3 linked regions of the Macaca fascicularis genome follow. The protein of the gene in region 1 purifies or fractionates together with the protein of each later gene. This does not show direct contact. Links are inferred from orthologs where the notes say so. Each region holds a gene or a part of one and is shown in the gene's direction. Other genes may lie near its edges.

Region 1 (3,744 bases):
CTCAAAAAAAAAAAAAAAGAAAAAGAAAAAGAAAAAAAAATCTCATGGAATGGATAGCAACATTGATTAATATTGCGTTTGGAGTGATCAGATCACTTGTCACTTGTTTCCAGGCACAGGGCTTACCAAGAGGCAGATTCCAGATTTAAATAATTCGGTAACAGCAAAGTCCATGCTATTTTCACTGCTTTGGAGAAAAGATCCAGACCCAGAGCTTGAACCTCACTTTGCAGCACCCCAGTTCTATTCTTTAAGTAATTTTTTTTTTTTTTTCTGCCAGGCACAGTGGTTCATGCCTATAATCCCGGCACTTTGGGAAGCCGAGGGTGAAGGATAGCTTGATGCCAGGAGTTCGAGACCAGTCTGGGCAACATGGCAAAACCCCATCTCTACAAAAAATACAAAAATTAGGCCCGAGTGGTGGCGCGCACCTGTAGTCCCAGCTACGTGAGAGGCAGAGGTGGGAGAATCGCTTGAACCCGGGAGGCGGAGGTTGCAATGAGCTCAGATCACACCACTGCACTCCAGGTTGGGCGACTGAGCGATACCCTGTCTGAAACTTTTTTTTTCTTTCTCCAACGGGCTTTCCAGAGAAGGGTGTGTAGGTGCGTGTGTGTGCGTGAGCGTGCTTGCTTGCATAAACTTTCTGTCGGGCCACAATTTCCCGTCTTTGCACTGGCTGTAGGGTGGGCTTTATCCTCGGGACGCCCCCCTCCCCCAGCCCAGCCTGCAGCTGGAAGTCTTCAATGATCTCCGTCTCTCCTCCCTGCCCGCCTCGGGACTGGGAGACCGATCTCTGTCTCTCGCCCTCCCCTCCACCCGCCTTTTCCAGATGTATGTCTGCCAAAGACCCCCCAGTGCAGAGGATGATGAATGAGGACCCGCGAGCCAGCCTGGTGGGAAAGTGTCGTCGCCTACAAAAGCAAGGGAAAGGGAGGGGAAGTTGGGGGGAGGGGAAAAGTTAGAGCTGAGCGGCTGGGGTGCTACGAGTCTGGACACCGGGGATCCAAGCTCCCTCCGCTCAGCCAATAACTGTGCCTCCCTTAGGAAGGCGTGAGGAAATGCTCCAATCAATCCCTGCACTCCTCCCTTGGAATTTGGGCTGTATTTTTTTAATTGACTGCAAACCCCACAATCCACCTAGGGGTTTCCCCAGTGTTTGTCTCCAGCGGTCCCGGTGCTGGAGCCCATTTCCTAGTGCTGCTCCCTCTCTTCCGCAAGACTGCGCTCCAGTCCCAGGCTACTTCTCCGCGGGTGCTTCCCAAACCGTTCTATCATTCTCGGGTTCAGGGAGGCGGAGTCGCGCCTGCTCTCCGGTTCCTTTAAGAGGCGTCGGCTCCACCCCTCTCGGAGTCGCGGTCTGACGCGAGAGGACAGGAACGAGTTTGGTATGTCTATGCAAATAAGCGCTCCCCTGCGGGCCAATGGGGAGCGGAGGTGCCGGAACCATGGACCAATGGGGCGGGGGCGCTGGGGCTCACCATATAAGGAGCGGCCTCGCCATAAAAGGAAACATTGTATCTCTTTATATGGGGGGAAGGGTCGGGGGATCCCTCCGCCGCCAGCGCGTGGTCCCGGCCCCCTCCACCCGCCGTCTCGGCCGCGGCCAGCAGCCCCTGCCCCCCGGGGGACGCTGAAGGCCGCCGGGCGCGCCGCCCTAGCAGACGGACAGGGGGCGCTGCGCGCGGCCTGGGGCAACCCGGGCCACAGGGGCAGGAAAGTGAGGGCCCAGGTCGGCCCGGGCGTGCAGGGGCCCCGGGTTCGCAGCGGCTGCCGCGGCAGCGATAGCGGCACTAGCAGCAGCGGGAGTGCCGGGTTGAGCCGGGAAGCCGATGGCGGCGGCTGCGGCTCCGATTCCTCGCTGACTGCCCGTCCGCCCTCCTGCATCGAGCGCCATGTTACCGAGCCAAGCTGGGGCCGCGGCGGCTCTGGGCCGGGGCTCGGCCCTGGGGGGCAGCCTGAACCGGACCCCGACGGGGCGGCCGGGCAGCGGCGGCGGGACTCGTGGGGCTAACGGGGGCCGGGTCCCCGGGAATGGCGCGGGGCTCGGGCCCGGCCGCCTGGAGCGGGAGGCTGCGGCAGCGGCGGCAACCACCCCGGCGCCCACCGCGGGGGCCCTCTACAGCGGCAGCGAGGGCGACTCGGAGTCGGGCGAGGAGGAGGAGCTGGGCGCCGAGCGGCGCGGCATGAAGCGGAGCCTGAGCGAGATGGAGATCGGTATGGTGGTCGGTGGGCCCGAGGCGTCGGCGGCGGCCACCGGGGGCTACGGGCCGGTGAGCGGCGCGGTGAGCGGGGCCAAGCCGGGTAAGAAGACCCGGGGCCGCGTGAAGATCAAGATGGAGTTCATCGACAACAAGCTGCGGCGCTACACGACCTTCAGCAAGAGGAAGACGGGCATCATGAAGAAGGTACCAAGCCGGCGGGCTGGCTGGCCCCGGGGCCCGGGAAGGGTGGGGATGCGCAAGGGGAGCCCGGGAGGACGGCAGAGCCGAGGCGGAGGTGAGAGGCGGCGAGTCCGCAGGAGGTGTGTGGGAGGGGATGGCTCCTACCCGGGGAGGGCCGAAGGGGAGGGGCCGCCGGGGAAATGTGGGGAGAGGGGAGATCCCGCGAACGCCGGGAACCTTGGGGAAAGGCGCAGAGGTGGGAGTGACCGGCGCGAGAGAGGAAGGAGGGCCCTTGTTGAGTGGAGGTTTGAGGAGCGGTCATGGGAGGCTGCGAGGCTGCCGGGGAGGTGAATAATGAGAAGCCGGGATCAGTAGGTCCAGTGCACTCCGGTGTTTGGAGGAGGGCGCTGGAAAAGCAGGGAGCAAACGAGAAGGTATGGAGGTGAGGAGGCTGGAGCTGCATGACAACAATGAGCGAGCATGTGTGGGAGGAAATGGGCACCACGAGAGTAGTGCTGGTTGGAAGGACAGGCAGGGTTAGGGACCAGGTAAGGGAGCGGGGCAGGAGAACTGGTGCTGCCCTGAGCAGCAGGAACCTAGTCCCGCGCCGGCCGTGAGTGTTCCATGGCATCCGCTGGGAACCACATGCTGCTCCTGGCAGGACCCGCTGCAGAATCTCCTGCCGTTAGGACAAGTGGGGTTTCCAGCCCTAGGGAGAATCTATGCATGGATGGGGTTTGGGGGAAATCGGGGAGGCTTGCAGAGGTACCTAGGAATTCCTCTTCTGCCAGCCAGTGAAAAGTGGTGAGGAAAAGAGTCATTTTGGGGTGTAGATGATAAGGGAAGGGATGAAAGCAGAAGAATTGGGAGACAAGTAGCTGGATCCTTGGGAACATTGGCTGGTGTTTATTTCTGTCCCATGTAGAAACCAGAGCTGCTTCCAAGGTGGTTCGTAGAACTTTGTTGGGAGAGTATGGCATCTGTGGGGCCATCCTTGAAGGTCCCCTTCCTGGGCTCATGGCAGGATGTTTAGTGCTAATCTAGGTCTCGTCTCCCCTCACTCTAGACACTGTTGTATCAATGTCCCTTGTCACTTGATCATCAGTGGAGAAGGTTGTGGGGGGAGGTAGTTAATGAAGGAAAATTCTCTTCTCCCCTTCCATAACCTTCTTCCCAAGACAAAGTAAAAAAGGCAGTAAAGTATTACAGGACAACAGGAGAAACTAGGCTATGGCAACAAGTTGGAGCCTGTGCAGTTTCTGGAAAGAAACATGGGACAGTTGGAGCTTAAGTGGTCCCTTATCACTAATGTGCAAATTCCAGTGTGATAGGTAGGGATCCATCCTGGTCCCTGTGACAG
Region 2 (3,644 bases), on another chromosome or scaffold:
GGTGGTGGGGGGCATTGCGCCCTCCAGGGTGCTGGAGGATTAGGGTAGTTGATGCATCTGAAGTGCCCTTCTGCCTGGACCCAGTGCCCTGTGTCCAGCTGCCCCTGGCCTCCCTGACTGTTGACTGCCTTGCAGGTGGCAGAGCTGAAGCAGGAGCTGAAGTTGCGATCACTGCCCGTCTCAGGCACCAAAACTGAGCTGATTGAGCGCCTTCGAGCCTACCAAGACCAAATCGGCCCTGTCCCAGGAGCCCCCAAGGCCCCTGCCACCACCTCTATCCTGCACAAGGCTGGCGAGGTGGTGGTAGCCTTCCCGGCGGCCCGGCTGAGCACAGGGCCAGCTCTGGTGGCAGCAGGCCTGGCCCCAACTGAGGTGGTGGTGGCCACGGTGACCAGCAATGGAGTGGTGAAATTTGGCAGCACAGGCTCCACACCGCCTGTGTCTCCTACCCCCTCAGAGCGCTCACTGCTCAGCACCGGCGATGAAAACTCCACCCCCGGGGACACCTTTGGTGAGATGGTGACGTCTCCCCTGACGCAGCTGACTCTGCAGGCCTCGCCACTGCAGATCCTCGTGAAGGAGGAGGGCCCCCGGGCCGGGTCCTGTTGCCTGAGCCCTGGGGGGCGGGCAGAGCTAGAGGGGCGCGACAAGGACCAGATGCTGCAGGAGAAAGACAAGCAGATCGAGGAGCTGACGCGCATGCTCCGGCAGAAGCAGCAGCTGGTGGAGCGGCTCAGGCTGCAGCTGGAGCAGGAGAAGCGAGCCCAGCAGCCCGCCCCAACTCCTGTCCCCACCCCTGCCCCTCTCGGCATGCCAGTGAAGCAGGAGAACAGCTTCTCCAGCTGCCAACTGAGCCGACAGCCCTTGGGCCCTGCTCACCCATTCAGCCCCAGCCTGGCGGCCCCAACCACCAACCATGTAGACCCTTGTGCTGCGGCCCCGGGGCCCCCGTCCGTGGTGGTGAAGCAGGAAGCTGTGCAGCCTGAGCCCGAGCCGGTCCCCGCCCCCCAGCTGCTTCTGGGTCCTCAGGGCCCTGGCCTCATCAAGGGGGTTGCACCTCCCACCCTCATCACTGACTCCACAGGGACCCACCTTGTCCTCACCGTGACCAATAAGAATGCAGACAGCCCTGGCCTGTCCAGTGGAAGCCCCCAGCAGGTACCTGGGTATGGGAGGAACCGGGCAGGGCCCAGAGGAGGGTGGGAAGAGCGTCTCGCTGCAGCCCTCGTGGGCCAGGGGTCCCCTCGTGCTGGGCATTTTGTGTTTGCTTCGTTTAATCTTCCTTTCGACCCTCTGAAATGAGCGGTCGTTATCCCCATCTCACCACGGGGAGCACTGAGACTTAGGAAAGTTAAGGCACCTGCCTGAGACCCCTTAGCCGTAGGGCGGAACCATTGGCGAGCTCTCCACCTCTCTGGCTGTTGAGACTAGAACATTTTTGCATCTCAGCAGAGGACTCCTGAGCAGCCCACACCAGGCTGGGCCTGCCTTAGTGCTGCTCTATGGGGAGTGGCCAGTGAAGGTCAGAGGTAGCCTGCCCTGGGGAGAGGCTGTGGGGTCCTCTGGCCAGGATCCAGCTCAGGGTCCTCCCCTCAGAGAGGCCAGCTCTCCCCACCGAGGTGTCAGCAGCAGAAAGCTCCCCAGCAGACCTTCTCTCAGCCTGGGCCACAGGTGAGGCTGCCCTAAGGCTTTATGTAGCCTTGTGGTCCTGCAGAACTTGGGGGTGGAGGAGACAGTGACAGGAACAGGTACCTCAGGATAGGAGATGGGGGTCCCTGAGCAGACCCAAGCAGAGAAAGAAGCTGCAGAAATCTCAGGGAGTGACCAGCCCAGCGCAGAGACCTCTCCCAAACCTCAAGAGGCCAGGCACCCCCTGCAGGGTTGAGGGTCCCCCATCCTGTATTCCTTCTTACCTAGTGGCTTTCACGAAAGCTCCCTAAAAGCCAGTGCCCCCCATCTGCCCTCCTGGAGTGTGAGAGGCCCTGGCCTTATCCCCACCCCTCACCCCTACAAGGCAGGTCTGTACCCCCAGCCCCCTGGCCACTGGTCCTCTCCCTGTTCTCCTGTCCAGCCCTCATCCCAGCCTGGCTCTCCAGTGCCTGCCGCCTCTGCCCAGATGGACCTAGAGCACCCACTGCAGCCCGTCTTTGGGACCCCCACTTCTCTGCTGAAGAAGGAACCACCTGGCTATGAGGAAGCCATGAGCCAGCAGCCCAAACAGCAGGTGAGGAAGGCGGGCTGGGCCTGGCCATTGTGGGCGGCTGCCCTAGGCTGCTGGGCTGAGGTTCCTACAGCCCCAGCTGCAGGAAAAGGGGGCAGGTGAAGCCCAGCTTCAGGGTCAGAGAGGCCTTGGGGAGTGGGCCGTTGGGGGATGGGCACCAGGAGTCCGGACATGCCCGTGGGTGCTGTGGATCTGGCTGCTTATTCTGGTAGAGGGAGGGGCCTCATTCATAGTTCAGGCTGGGAGCCCCCATTCAAGAGTTTCATCTTTTTTTTTTTTTTTCTTTGTCCCGCAGGAAAATGGTTCCTCAAGCCAGCAGATGGACGACCTGTTTGACATTCTCATTCAGAGCGGAGGTAACCCCAGATCCCCTGCTGCCTCCTGACAGCCTTCTCTGTTCATAGGTGTCTCTAGCCCTGGGTTGGTTTGTTTTTATTGAATGCTTCCATGCGTGACTGGTCTTGGGCAAGCACTGTGGATGCAGTGGTGGCTGTGAGCCCTCCTGTCTCCAGGGCCTGGATGAGAGGACCAGGGAAGGTGTCGTCCTTCATTCAGCAGGGAGCACTGCCCCAAGGCCCTCGCCTGCCAATGAGCAGAAGAGACATTTGCCCTTGTGGAGCTCACAGTGCAGCCTGGGGAGGTGGACAACAAGTAGAAGAAATAAGCAGATCATATGGAAGATCCGAGAGGAGCCTTAGGACAAAAACGGAGGGGAGGGAGAGGTCTGGGGAGCCTGGTGGGGAAGGGCCGGGATGGCTCCTGTGAGCAGGAGCAGCTGTGTGCATCTGTGCGGCCTTGGGAGTGACTGGCGAGTTGGAGTGTAGTTGAGGAAAGGGAAAGAAGGGCTTTGTGGCCAGATCATGCGTGGCCTCCTGGGCATCAGGGCAGGGTGGCTTTGGCTCCATTGTGTGGGAAGCCATCGCACAGCCTTGGGTAGAGTGGCCTGGTCTGATGCAGGACCCAGGAACCTTCCAGCTGCTGTAGCGATAGCAGCTGCGCAAGGGCAGAAGCAGGGAGCCCCAGGTTGGGGGTGGTGGGAGAGCAGGGCTGTGGCCCAGCAGGCAGCAGTGGCAGGCGGAGGAACAGCTGGAGTCGGCCCCATTTGGAAAGAGCCAGGTTGGTGTGTTTATGGATGAGGTGTGGAGAGAGGGAAGCAACAGCCAAGGATGACTTCAAGGGCTGTAGCCTGAAGGGCCAGGGTGGAGCAGCCATTGATGGGGTGAGCTGGGGAGGGGGCACGTGTGGGACCACATTGTGCAGTCCCTGATGGGGTGTGTCATGAGTGGAGGGTTTACAGGGACAGTTGACATCGAGTGGCATTTGTAAGAGAGGTCTGGGCTGCATGTAGGAGTTGGGGTGTTGTCGCATCTAGATTGGCAGTTGGAGCTGGGAGGCTGCCCAGGGCGTGAGGTGAGGGAGCAGA
Region 3 (3,644 bases), on another chromosome or scaffold:
CCCAAAGTGTTGGCATTACCGGTGTGAGCCATCGTGCCCAGCCACGAAGGAACTTTCTACAAATAGTCTTAAGATCAGAAGGCAGCCTTTGTTAGGCCATCAGTTGGTTTTAGGTTAGGAGAATGCATTCATTGAAACACAGGATTACGTTTTGCTGTACTCCAGAAAAGAAAAATTCTGGAGCTGCTTCTAAGATTCAACTTTCCCTGTCTGAGGAGTGTCCTTCCAGTGTGATACATTTGCAATGAATTTGTTCATTAGCAATGTTAGTGTTCTAGGAGCTCTTTGTACATCATGCCTTTGCTATATTGTATTTCTGAGGTTCAAGAATGGCCATCAGACCAAACTGCCTCACAATGTGTCCATGATGCAAAGTCATTCTCAGTCATGGCCTAAAGCACGTGCCATTTCCTCATCCTCTTTGCAGTCCAAATCCTTGGGTGACAGTAAGAACCGCCACAAAAAGCCCAAGGACCCCAAGCCAAAGGTGAAGAAGCTTAAATATCACCAGTACATTCCCCCAGACCAGAAGGCAGAGAAGTCCCCTCCACCTATGGACTCGGCCTACGCTCGGCTGCTACAGCAACAGCAGCTGTTCCTGCAGCTCCAAATCCTCAGCCAGCAGCAGCAGCAGCAGCAGCAACACCGATTCAGCTACCCAGGGATGCACCAAGCTCAGCTTAAGTAAGTCCGGCAAGCCTGGGAGAGTGGCTGTGGGCAGAGGTTGAGAAGGGTGTCTGTTAATATCTATCTGATGTACGTGGGGCCAGCACCATGGGGCCTAGCAAGTCCTGTATTGCACCATTTCCTCATCCAGTATGTTTGGAAGCTGATTCAATTTAGAAACTATGCACACCTTTTCAGAGCCATAAGACTGGGATGTATCTGCAGATGTATTCCAAACCCTCAGTGGATACCTAAAACCTCAGATAGTACTGAACTCTACGTATAGTGTATTTTTCTTAGGCATACATATCTATGATAAGGTTTCATTTATAAATTAGGCACAGTGAGAGATGAACAATAATAGCTAGCAACAATATAGAACAATTATAGCAAGATACTACAATAAAACGTATGTGGATGTGGTGGTTTCTCTCTCAGAATAACTTATTGTACTGTACACATCTATTTTTGAACCACAGTTGACCTCAGGTAACTGAAATCTTGTAAAGTGAAACCGCCAATAACGGGTGGACTACTATAAATCAGTGCCCTTGGTAAAAGGTCCCTTTGGGAAATAGGAAAGGATTAGCATTTTCAAATTGGACTGTGGAATGTCTAAGAATGTGATATTGGAATTATGAGCAATTCCGATCCACTTCTGCTTTTGGAAAGAACATTGCTGAGCAGCGGAGAGAAATCCTCAAAGATTGACTCTTGAGCCCAGGTTGTGTGACCACATCGCTACATCACCTTTTAAATCGTCAATATCCCTACATGTAAAGTTGAGGTAGGATTCCTCCTGTCCTCCTCAGACTATGCTAGCGATTACGCCAAGCGCTAAACACAACCAAGCTTCACCAGGTGGGTTTGGCCTCCCCAGGACAGAGCAGCAGCTGAATCACAGGTGGATGTGTGCCACAGTCCCCACCGCTCCCTCTTATCTCCCTAAACAAAGTTCAGATGTCACACACCACTTGCCATCTAGCCGGCCCTGTTGTTTTTCCTCACCCTGCTCCCTTCTGCTGGTTTATTACATGCCTGACCCTTGCAGGCCATCACTTTGGGATCCGATCTAAACGCAAGTTATACCACCAATATTTGATTGTACCTGAAGTGCCTCTTTGTTTGTCTTTTAGAGAACCAAATGAACAGATGGTCAGAAATCCAAACTCTTCTTCAACGCCACTGAGCAATACCCCCTTGTCTCCTGTCAAGAACAGTTTTTCTGGACAAACTGGTGTCTCTTCTTTCAAACCCGGCCCACTCCCACCTAACCTGGATGATCTGAAGGTATAGGATTTTGCATGAGTTTCTTTCTTTTTTTAAACAAATACAACAGTATGTTGTTAACAGCACCACGACCAACTGGTATCTGGAGTAAGAGAGTGGGAGGGAAAGAAGACCATAGGAAACGCTGAAGGAGGTGGCAGAATTTATCCTGCTGTGGTTGAACACCCCAGTTGACTATAGCCCATTTTACGCAGCCGTAACAGGATACCGGAAACTGGGAAATTTGTGAAGAAAAGAAATTTATTTCTCACAGTTCTAGGGCTGAGAAGTCCAAGGACATGGCACCAGTATCTGGCGAATGCCACCCCATGGTAAAAGGGCAGAAGGTGGAAGGGCAAGAGCATTTGAGATAGAGGGAAAAGACAAACGTTATGTTTATTTCACCATAGTAAAAAATAATTTTTAAGTAGGCTATTTCTAGATAAGAGTGAGACAGGAGACAAGTAAGACAGGAGATGCCTTAGTCACAGAGAAACATGATCCAGATATGATAGTGCCATCTGTCAGACCCCTCAAAACCCACTTTTGGGAGGCTGAGGCAGGTGGATCCCTCTAGATACACATGCTCAGAAGCATTGGCTGGTGAGAGTTATAATAATTAGTGTAGGTATAAAGAGATGATGATGATGACGATGGTGCCTATCAATTTTTTTTTCTTTTTTTTTCTTTTTTTTTTTTTTTGAGACGGAGTCTCGCTCTGCCGCCCAGGCTGGAGTGCAGTGGCCGGATCTCAGCTCACTGCAAGCTCCGCCTCCCGGGTTTACGCCATTCTCCTGCCTCAGCCTCCCGAGTAGCTGGGACTACAGGCGCCCGCCACCTCGCCCGGCTAGTTTTTTTTTTTTTTGTATTTTTTAGTAGAGACGGGGTTTCACCATGTTAGCCAGGATGGTCTCGATCTCCCGACCTCGTGATCCGCCCGTCTCGGCCTCCCAAAGTGCTGGGATTACAGGCTTGAGCCACCGCGCCCGGCCTTTTTTTTCTTTTTTTGAGATGGAGTCTTGCTCTGTCATCCAAGCTGGAGTGCAGTGGCACAGTCTCGGCCCACTGCAAGCTCTGCCTCTCGGGTTCAAGCAATTCTTCTGCCTCGGCTTCCCTAGTAGCTGGGACTACAGGTGCCTACCACCACACCTGGCTAATTTTTGTGTTTTTAGTAGAGACAGGGTTTCACCAAGTTGGCCAGGCTGGTCTTGAACTCCTGACCTCAGGTGATTCACCAGCCTTGGCCTCACAAAGTCCTGGGATTACAGGCATGAGCCACCCTGCCCAGCCCCTACCAATTTGTATTTTTTAATATGAGCCATCCGTCATTTATTCTGTGTAGATTTGCTTTAATTTTCACCCCACAAGATAAGTTTTGTCTCCCCAGTTTAAAAAGTGAAAATAAAACCAGAATCATAGAGCCGGGCGCGGTGGCTCACGCCTGTAATCCCAGCACTTTGGGAGGCTGAGGCGGGCAGATCACGAGGTCAGGAGATCAAGACCATCCTGGCTAACAAGGTGAAACCCCATCTCTACTAAAAATACAAAAAAAAATTAGCCGGGCGAGGTGGCAGGCGCCTGTAGTTCCAGCTACTCAGGAGGCTGAGGCAGGAGAATGGCGTGAACCCAGGAGGTGGAGCTTGCAGTGAGCGGAGATCACGCCACTGCACTCCAGCCTGGGCGACAGAGCGAGACTCCGTCTCAAAAAA

The links.
Region 2: the proteins of SRF (region 1) and MRTFA purify together in Homo sapiens (affinity purification with western blotting; 4 studies listed by BioGRID and IntAct, with this or other methods). This does not show direct contact. The link is inferred for Macaca fascicularis from reciprocal best matches to the Homo sapiens genes SRF and MRTFA.
Region 3: the proteins of SRF (region 1) and MYOCD purify together in Homo sapiens (affinity purification with western blotting; 3 studies listed by BioGRID and IntAct, with this or other methods). This does not show direct contact. The link is inferred for Macaca fascicularis from reciprocal best matches to the Homo sapiens genes SRF and MYOCD.

Annotation. Positions count from the first base shown.
Region 1 is NC_088378.1:128,360,597-128,364,340, reverse strand, and holds the start of SRF (serum response factor), read left to right. Parts: upstream 1-1,509; 5' UTR 1,510-1,895; coding exon 1,896-2,408; intron 2,409-2,636; exon of another isoform or gene 2,637-2,704; coding exon of another isoform or gene 2,705-2,818; intron 2,819-3,744. UniProt on the Homo sapiens protein: SRF is a transcription factor that binds to the serum response element (SRE), a short sequence of dyad symmetry located 300 bp to the 5' of the site of transcription initiation of some genes (such as FOS).
Region 2 is NC_088384.1:11,216,539-11,220,182, forward strand, and holds part of MRTFA (myocardin-related transcription factor A), read left to right. Parts: intron 1-135; coding exon 136-1,158; intron 1,159-2,071; coding exon 2,072-2,224; intron 2,225-2,516; coding exon 2,517-2,577; intron 2,578-3,644. UniProt on the Homo sapiens protein: Transcription coactivator that associates with the serum response factor (SRF) transcription factor to control expression of genes regulating the cytoskeleton during development, morphogenesis and cell migration.
Region 3 is NC_088390.1:12,813,130-12,816,773, forward strand, and holds part of MYOCD (myocardin), read left to right. Parts: intron 1-427; coding exon 428-684; intron 685-1,802; coding exon 1,803-1,956; intron 1,957-3,644. UniProt on the Homo sapiens protein: Smooth muscle cells (SM) and cardiac muscle cells-specific transcriptional factor which uses the canonical single or multiple CArG boxes DNA sequence. Acts as a cofactor of serum response factor (SRF) with the potential to modulate SRF-target genes.